3 linked regions of the Tribolium castaneum genome follow. The protein of the gene in region 2 purifies or fractionates together with the protein of the main gene of each other region. This does not show direct contact. Links are inferred from orthologs where the notes say so. Each region holds a gene or a part of one and is shown on either strand. Other genes may lie near its edges.

Evidence for each region.
Region 1: the proteins of protein FAM98A (region 2) and RNA transcription, translation and transport factor protein purify together in Homo sapiens (affinity purification with mass spectrometry; 4 studies listed by BioGRID and IntAct, with this or other methods). This does not show direct contact. The link is inferred for Tribolium castaneum from reciprocal best matches to the Homo sapiens genes FAM98A and RTRAF.
Region 3: the proteins of protein FAM98A (region 2) and ataxin-2 homolog purify together in Homo sapiens (co-immunoprecipitation; 3 studies listed by BioGRID and IntAct, with this or other methods). This does not show direct contact. The link is inferred for Tribolium castaneum from reciprocal best matches to the Homo sapiens genes FAM98A and ATXN2L.

What each region holds. Positions count from the first base shown.
Region 1 is NC_087396.1:19,110,328-19,113,309, forward strand, and holds RNA transcription, translation and transport factor protein, read right to left. Parts: upstream 1,745-2,982; 5' UTR 1,659-1,744; coding exon 1,601-1,658; intron 1,549-1,600; coding exon 1,327-1,548; intron 1,279-1,326; coding exon 1,189-1,278; intron 1,140-1,188; coding exon 979-1,139; intron 928-978; coding exon 724-927; 3' UTR 594-723; downstream 1-593. Other genes in the region: rab-like protein 3, read right to left, coding at 1-75. UniProt on the Homo sapiens protein: RNA-binding protein involved in modulation of mRNA transcription by Polymerase II. Component of the tRNA-splicing ligase complex and is required for tRNA ligation.
Region 2 is NC_087394.1:32,799,411-32,803,230, forward strand, and holds protein FAM98A, read right to left. Parts: upstream 2,516-3,820; 5' UTR 2,383-2,515; coding exon 2,345-2,382; intron 2,298-2,344; coding exon 2,092-2,297; intron 2,040-2,091; coding exon 1,546-2,039; intron 1,445-1,545; coding exon 1,244-1,444; intron 1,195-1,243; coding exon 604-1,194; 3' UTR 506-603; downstream 1-505. Other genes in the region: alanyl-tRNA editing protein Aarsd1, read left to right, coding at 2,917-2,955, 3,002-3,130, 3,278-3,530, 3,578-3,705, 3,797-3,820. UniProt on the Homo sapiens protein: Positively stimulates PRMT1-induced protein arginine methylation. Involved in skeletal homeostasis. Positively regulates lysosome peripheral distribution and ruffled border formation in osteoclasts.
Region 3 is NC_087401.1:8,009,752-8,012,299, reverse strand, and holds the end of ataxin-2 homolog, read right to left. Parts: intron 2,283-2,548; coding exon 2,095-2,282; intron 2,040-2,094; coding exon 1,588-2,039; 3' UTR 539-1,587; downstream 1-538. UniProt on the Homo sapiens protein: Involved in the regulation of stress granule and P-body formation.

The sequences.
Region 1 (2,982 bases), on a different chromosome or scaffold from region 2:
AAGGTGGACGAAGGAGGTTTTGCCAACGCCGGAGTCGCCCAACACCATAATACGCACCCGGTCTATTGCCGTCATTATTTTTTATCACACAATTACACTTTACAACTGGGAAATATTTGAGGTTATCTGCGTTGTCAATGTCAACTTGACACACAACTGGTGTGCGTGACCGTAAATTTCCAGTCGCTTATTTCAAATAATGAAGGTAAATTTGTAAATTGGCACCGTCAAGTCAATTTACAAATTAAAAACAATGCAAATAATTGACTAAGAGTCACAACACATTGTTTTATGTTGTATTCATGACAAATTGTAATTTAATTGCAATTATAACGTAATTGGTCAACTGTAAAAGTGTAACTTAAGTTCCAATTTAAAGAGCCGGCTCCGGCTTTTTGACAAGTAATTTGTAGGTTATACATACATTTCAAATTATGGGGAACAAGCAAGAGGAGAGTTGTTTAGCTTGTAAAATCACGTCAATTTGTTGTTTAACTGCAATTGGTGGTTACCTCATCTACCATGGCAAACAACCAACACAAAAGTACAAATACTCGTTAACTTCTTTAGGACTAGGTAATTAACACAAAAAGTGCTTCACTAGACATTTATTAGTGTAATTGCAGGTTGTGTAGCGTTAGGAGTTGGAGAAATATTTGATAAATCGCCGTTTCGTGATTATAAGGAACAGAATCAATAAATATTAGAACTGAAATAAACACTTCATTTTCCGACTTTTCCCAGCTTTGTGTCAGTTTTAGGATTAGCTGTGATGTTTTGAACGGCCACAATTAGTTCATTGGCTTTCGTTTGCAAATCTCTTAGATCATGGATGTATAAAATTCTTAATACTTTTGCCGCTTGATTTAAAACAGGATCATTCAAATCAAACCCCAAGTCAGCTTCTTGAAAAGGAAAAGGTGTGCCCTTTAAAAACACATTTAGATTTTTGAGGCTTGATAACTACGCACAAATTACCTTTATTATGACTTCGCTTGGATTGGCTTGAGCTTGTGGCGACAGTCTTGTAGTTACAAGCTTTGCAACTGCTTTTAAGGTCACAAGCGGGTCAGGATGGGGCGTTATATTTAATAGTTGTGCCAATTTTGTAATACCTTCTGCAAATTCTTTACTGTGGACTGAAATTTACTAAAATTATTTACCGAAAAAATCGACTTGTTTACGTACAATCTAATTTATCAAGGGGATTTTCAGTGACAACAGTTGGAACATTAGTTGCCTTTAAGTTCTCAACTGCATGTTTAATGTATACTTCCCCTAAAACAAAAAATTATTTTCGTGTTTTGTGGCTACGACCAATATTACTATTATTATGAGTCTCGATTTGCACAGCATAACCTAAAAGCCACTGGAGTTGTTCTTGATGGCTCTGTAAATTGGGTACACCTAGAGCTTCCTTGTACTTTTGAAAATGGTTAGGCCAATCATTTGACGTTACGTTTTTAAGACCATTTGCCACGTTAGAATCAGCTTTATTAATTTTATTTAATTCCAACCATGCCACAATTTTTCTGAATGTTGCTTCGTCTAAAAATCAGTATTTGAAGTTAAATTAAAATTATCGAGACAACGTGATCACCGTTAACGTTCACATCACACTGTGGGTACTCTAATGCTGATAAGAGCCTTTTAACCATTTTTAATTATTCACGAGTGATAAAATAAATAAAACTTTACCGGTGCTGTCAGTGTCAAAATGTCAATGACCTTGTATGATTCCTGAGAAATCTGTATAAAAAGAAAAATTGTATGAAGGGTAATTAAAACTTAAGTTTTTTTTAATAAAAAAGTGGAAATAATACATAAGTGTTTATTAAAAATGCACATACAGTACAATTAATAAAAATTTCTAATAGCTCGTGCTCAGTCTTTTGTAAAATAAATATTCCTATACTTAAATGCCGCCAGGGCTAATAAAAACCTACATATTACTTTTTTTCTTAAAACTAAGTTATATCATAGGTAAGTGACATAATATACATACTATATTTTGTGTATAACACAACATATAACACCTATAAATAGTTAAATACAAAAATATGGTGGTAAACATTCTCTATCAATTGTCCCAAACAAAATCATTGAAATATTCTCTCAACTCAAACATATTTCGTAACTGATGGTGACAATACGCAAAAATAAAATCAACGGTCCGAAAGAATTTGTTAAATCATAAGTAACTTTCCAATAAATAAAAATAACAATCGGGATTTAATTTCTTTATCACAGGCAATTTGAGGCGACCAATAAAGACTGCAAAGTAATAACGGGTGTAAGACGTAGATAATTACAGAATCGTTGGTCTGATATTGATATAAGAAGAAAACGTAATACTTGGGTACAAATGTTTTCGTACCGAAATATTACTGCCCAAAATCCATCAGTTATAGGGTTAATATACTTGTTAAGTTTGGATATTGTTCAAACATTAAAATCACTAAAAGTCTACATGTTATACTTTCATTTAGAAATGCTGTTGACTATACATTTTGTAAATATTTCGTCTATAATATCCAATCAACGAAGTAAAAGAATTATCACTAAAATCGATATTAAATAAATATCACGCAACTTTCTGATAACAGTAACAAACAATGGCTAGTGTAGTAATCTCGGTGCTGAGATGCGCTGTCATGCTCTAGTTAAAGACTGTTCAACGTTTGAAATTGCATAGATAATCTGGAAGCAGCACAACCCCGCAGTAACAACACGTAACAAAAGTTTACACTAATAGCACCCAACATTATGCATAAATAAAATTAAAATAAGTCTAACAATAACTTAACTTTCAAATAAGAGTAACCGTGAGATATTGAGAGATTACATTTTGAATCGAATTTCCCCTTATGGCCCCAATACATATCAAATGCACTATCCAATAACTAGGTTGAAAAATGTCACAAAAACTTATTTGAGCACATTTACACAATTTCCAACAAGTAAGTACTTTTCATACAAAAT
Region 2 (3,820 bases):
CTCCCTCAGGAACCGAGATAGCACTGCACATTTTTAAATCGGGAATCGAAGTACATGACGTAATAGTGCTTCAAAAGTTATGTAAGCATGCAAAATTTCAAGTCGCTACGACAACAGAAAGTGTCCCATATTTAAGTTCAAAATATTAATAAATCCGAAAGGCAAGAGAAGACACTTTTCTTTAATTTTTACAGGTTATTATTAACTAAAGCTTAGATTAAAAATAAATAGATGGCGCTAAATTTACAGGTTACTTTATATTTTAGCTTTAATTTAAAGCGTATAGATGGCAATTAAAACATTACAGATTACTGTAGCATTGTACTTTTACATCCAACATATAGATGGCAACACTAACAATTTTAATTTACTTTTGGCTTTATTGCATAGATGGCGCATTTAATTTTTACCTTTTTTTGAATTTACTAGCTTTAGGAAGTGAGTTCTTCAGTTCTAGAAACTGTTTTGGATGAAAATGGAAATACTATAAAATCAAACTTCAATATCGATTCAGTACTTTTATTAAATATTTAAATACATTAGCAATCTTTCAAGTGTTAGTGCTAGTTTCAAATAACTGCAAATAATGATACAGCACAATTTTTAATAGTGATTCCTGCCTCCCCTGTTGTAATTCGAGTGTCCTCTGCCTCTCCCTCTGTAATTCCCCCTCCCGTGATACTGCTGATTATGCTGTTCCTCTTGCACATACTGATCAGCATAAGTCGTTCTATTTTGTTGAAAGGAATCGTAAGTTTTCGGCCTTTTCGAATTTTGTTCATAGCTCGTGGAGTAACTACCTGCACTATCAAAATTCCTATTATCGTAACTACTTTTATTATCGTTATAACTGCCTTGGCCGCCGCCGTAACTCCCCTGTCTCTCGTTATTATAACCAGGGTTGTTATAACCACCACCGTAACTTCCAGCACTGTCATAACTGCGCCCCTGGTTATAATTGTCGTAACCGCGACCGCCGCTTTTATAATTATCATAACCACCTTGATTACCAGAGTAACTTCCACCGTAACTCCCCGAATCTCTTGAATAGTTCTGTCTGTTGTCGTTACGGGAAAAGTTACCGCCGCCTCTTCCTCGACCGCCCCCCGAGGGCCCCGGCGTGCGCTGCTGCCAAGAGGGCATCTCCGGAGGGGGCGGCGCTTGCTCAGAGGTTCGGCCTCCACGATCAGGAACCTAAAAGTTTTCTTTGGTGTTTTTTTCTTAAACAAAATCATGGTTTTACCTGTCCAATAATGACTTTATTTAGTGACGATTTTGTGTTTTTGCGCACAGACGAGTTACTTGTCTTTTCGATAATTGCAATGTCGTCTCGTGCGGCTAATAAATCAGCAAGTTCAACTTCCGGTTCCGTTTTCAGGCGTTTCCGCTTTTCGGTGTAAACTTTTTCAAATAACTCATCTTTGCCTTTCGTTTTATCAGACCACTGCAACAACAATTGAATATGAAACTTATGTATAGATTGCAAATGAAATTTGTTTTGAAGTAATAAATAAGAATGGAACAAATGTTAAAATTAGTGCCCACCTGAAAAGACTGAATCGTAACATCCAGCCTTGTTAGCAACATCTCTCTTCTAATTTTATATTCATTGTTCAAATCCTTCTGAACCCCATTTAGTGTTTCCCACTGCTTATCAGAAAGTGTTCCTTGAAACGCAGGCTTTCCAACTAATTCACTTCCAACTTTTTGAACAATACTTTGCACAGTTGGGCAAACTTTTTGGAATAACTGTGGAATAGTAATGTTTGGGGGCGGTTTATGAAACCTCAGAGTCATTAATATCTTCCTCATATTGGCAGCTTCTTCAGTCTCTTGCTGCAAAACTTTATCAACAATTTGAAAATTGCGTTTCGTTTTACTTACCAGTTTTAGCTCAAATTTTTTATCGGGCTTTTTCTCTTGTAGTACTCTTGCGGCCATCAGTTCAGTAGCCAAATAGTCTAAAAGTAATAATTTGTCTTGGTGACTTTCCAGACGGTCTGAAATATGGCCCTGTGTTAAGGCAACGTAGGGGCAGTCTGTAACCATTAAATGTGAAAAAATTGGCAAAATACAACAAAACCACCGCACTCAATTCTTTCAGAAAAGAACTAACTTCCATAACAAACGATACTGAATCTTCAGGGCCTGATATTGGATTGACTTCCTCATCGATATTAAGCAATGCGCGTAGCTCGTTTGTTAAAAAACTGACTAGCTTGGTGAATTCCACGTTTTTTGCTCCCTCCTGCAGGGCAGAATCAAAACTAGCCTTCTCGAGAAGGGGGCCACAATAACTGCAATGCAAGTTAGACCTGGAAATTTTTGGTTGGGAAATAATTACCCCAGGTCCTTCAGTCCGTCTAAGAGTTTCTGTTCCATTGTATTAATTAATACTATGTCTTACTTTTGCACTAATATAGAGATTGAAGCCGGTTATTGAATTTCTAACCAATTTGCGAAAATGTCAAGTGGTCAAGCTGTCAAATATCGCAACGTAAAATAACGCAACATTTTTTACTTTTTTTTTTTTGAAAATTTTTATTATGGGGAAAACGTTTAAAAAACTCAATTTGCGTTGTAGCGAAGTAGTTGTTAAAAATTAAATATGCTAGGAAATTCACAAAATTGAGAATTACAGTGAGGTATTAACGTAACGTAATACGAAATGTCAAAACGTAACGTAAGTCGCAACGTGTTTTGTGGGGGCCCCGATGACTTGTTTTATTTTATTTGAACAACACGATAAGATTATAGATTATTAGATTTAATATTATATATTAAAGTCGCACATTTATATGTTTTTAAGAAACACCACTTAAAACACCCAAAAAATTTAATTCCATACTGTCAAACCAGAGCACGGAAGAGTTGCTCAAAAATTTACTAATTTGTAAAGTGATCGGTAATTCTAACATGGTGTTTAAGTGCCAGGAAGACAGCTTTTTGAAAGAGGTACCAAACAACAAATTTTAACTTGTTACATTAAAAATACTTGTAGTTTACTTCAAAAGTAGTCTCATGCGAAAAAAGCGAGTTTGACGCAACCGTTGACGGCAAAAACGTTAAAATCAATGGATATGAAGTCATTCTGGAGAACACTGTTCTATTTCCTGAAGGGGGCGGCCAGGTTTTTAATTTTTCGTGCACATATTCAATTAATTTTCTGGTCCTAGTGACTGAAATTAAGTTAGCAACATTGTGCCAGGTCACTTTGATCAGAAATTTAATTGAACAAACGGTACATTTTAATAACCCATTTGACTAAAAATTGCAGCCCTGTGACCACGGTTTTTTGAACGACCAACCCGTGTACCAAGTCATACGAAGGGGCGACAAAGCTGTCCATTTCATCGAAAAACCGCTCAATGTCGGTGATGACGTTAAAGGCATCATTGACTGGAATCGCAGACTGGATCACATGCAGCAACATTCAGGCCAACATTTAATCTCTGCTGTTTTAATCAGAGAATTTAACTTTGATACAATCTCCTGGTACTTGGGAGAAGAAGTGTCGTACATTGAACTAGGTATTTTTTTTTTTGGTTTGAACGCTCTGAATAATTTATGTTTAAAGATATACCGAAAATTACCCAAGAACAGATCGATCACGTTGAAAACATTTGTAACGAACTGATAAGGGATCAACGGCCGGTCGTTGTTAATATTTTCGACGAAAATACGCCCCCTGAGAAACTAGAAAATGTACGATGTTCTTTTATTTTTTGTAAAATCGTCAGACATTAATCATAAAAAATCAACTTTTATGCCTAGTCGTGTAAATGAATTATTTTAGTACCGCAGCGCTCGCGACCTACCA
Region 3 (2,548 bases), on a different chromosome or scaffold from region 2:
AAAAAGTGAAAAAGTTTTAAATTTTGATTACAAAGTGTTATTAAAGATTATAAGCAATGGGTCACAGCGAATACAGCGAAACCAATAAATTAGTGAAGTCTGTGAATTTTTGGTTAGAATTTTTCCACTGAAAAAATCATGAAAAACTTCGATAAATCTACAAAACTACAATTAAGATTAACAACTGCTGATACATTTAAGCATAAATTGTTCCAAAAGGTAGGCTTTTCAATGTCTTTAAAATTATTTTCCAATTAAGGAAATGAACCAGTCATTCGTTATTTGTGTTTTCCTCGTCATCTCTAATTTATCAACATTCGTTTATTGCACCAAAAATACAATAGTCATTTCGCAGAGGCTATGCAATAATTGTGAAGCCTCAAAATTCGTACAACGCTCAAAATATTAGAATAAACATTTTCCCGCCATTTATGGTTACTGTTTTCGACCTAGCTCAGGGGCGCCCCCAACGGTAATTTTACTTCCGGATTATATTTCAGACAAGGACTAGGAATATGGGAATAATGAAACAGTCAGATACAAATAAAACCAAAGTGACTTTATTTGCGAAAATCATACAACTGTTAACTGCTTTTCTGCTTTTTTTTGACAATACTTACTTCTGCACCAACATGGTGCACTGAAAATATTCACAGCTCTACAGATTTTTTAACTGAGTTGACCATCTATTAAAAAATATTCTGCACAGCTTTAAATATTCAATCGCTTAATCTATAAAAAATTTAAATAATTTTGATCTTATACAAAAAAAAACAAAAAAAAATTGAATCATTGTTATTTTTGAGAAACACGTAGTATCGAAAAATGTTTCAGGTGCCAAAGATTGCATCGCACGTGATGAAAAAACACAAATTTTTTATTTAAGGCACCTTTCAAGTAGGATCGTCCCCATATCTTACAAATCAATAATCGCAACAGGGACGATTTTTTTTCATTGCTGAAAACAAATGAAATAATACGATGACCTGCTTATGGAATGAATGAATGTTCGAGTAGAAATGCCTCAACAACACAACGTACAACAAATAATAAAAAACAACAAAATTTTGAAACAACAAAAAAATAACCGGACTACAGACGACTGAAGCAATGAATGAGACGTCATGAGGGACCATGTCAATATCCAAGCTTAGGGATAAATGGGTCGCTTACTGTACCATACGCCTATATTCTGTCACACGCTGTACACTCTCACACAATTAATAATAATAAATAGTCGCTTTGAAAAAAATTTTTTGAAGCTTGGTATATTAACAGTCAATTAAATGGGTGAAGAAAATATGAAAAAAAAATTGATTGTTTTACCATGGTTTTTAATAAAGTTGGTAAAATTGCACCACAGTGTCACCAACACGATAAAGCAACTGATTAAATTTTTTACTTGTCATAGATATTAATTACCTAAAAGTAAAAAAAGATTAATTTTGACTCCGTCTGTAACAATCACTCGTAGGTAGGGTATTACCAACCGAAAAAAAACAAAAAAAACTAACGTTTGCGGGAGTAGGGAGTGGGTGGGATTAGGGACCAATGAAAATTACCTAGAACACAACACGTGGATTACCGCTAAGGGGCCGGCCCATGCTGTTGCGCTTGTGGGTGTTGTGGGGGGAGCATAACCGGAATGGGATGTTGCGGAGGCGGGGCTTGCTGCAGGTACTGCATATTTTGCATCATGTGCGGCTGGGTATGAAGTATGGAACACATGAGAGGCTGAAACTGCGGATGACTTTGCGGAGGCGGGGCTTGATACTGTTGGGGCGGCGGCTGGGGGCCCTGGCCCGGTGTGTATTGGGGCGGTTGGGCCGGCGAGGGCGTATTCGATGGATTGGGTGGGAGGTATTGGATTTGGGGCGGGGTTTCGTACATCCGAAGGGTGTGCATTTGATGATATCCTTGCGGATTCATGCCCGGTGGATAGACGAATTGTTGAATGGGCGGAGCTAGGAGTGGTTGACCTGTTGCCGCAGCGACTTGCATTTGACTGGTGACGTCCGTACGCATTTGGCTCATCGGAACTGAAATTAATTGGTTTGATTAGTTGAGGGGCGTGGTTTGTGGGTGGAGACTTACTTTTACGGACGCGGCTACCTTGTGGCGGGGGCTGGTATTGGGGTTGACTTGTCATCATGTAGCCAACCGGCATCATGACAGGCATGTGGGGTTGGCCTACGGGACCGCTCACTGTTGCAGGGATGTATGGGCTGTGAGAGGGGGTTTGGGGGGTGTGGGGGCGGCTCGCTGACGGCGTGCTTGGAGAACTGAAAATAAATATTAAAAATTAACAACATACATACATAATTTTTCTAAATAATTGTAACCTTAGACACAATTTTTCAAAAAAATCTCTACAGACCAAAGAAAAACGTAACACTTAATTCCTTGTATTAAAATATACAGCCATTCAAGACAATTAAAAGTATTTTAAGGGAATCTTAAAAAAAATGTATAGACTTTCAAAGAAACTAAAAAATTACACAGAAAAATAGCATAAACGATTTTCGAAACTTATAATTTGCAAGATTGG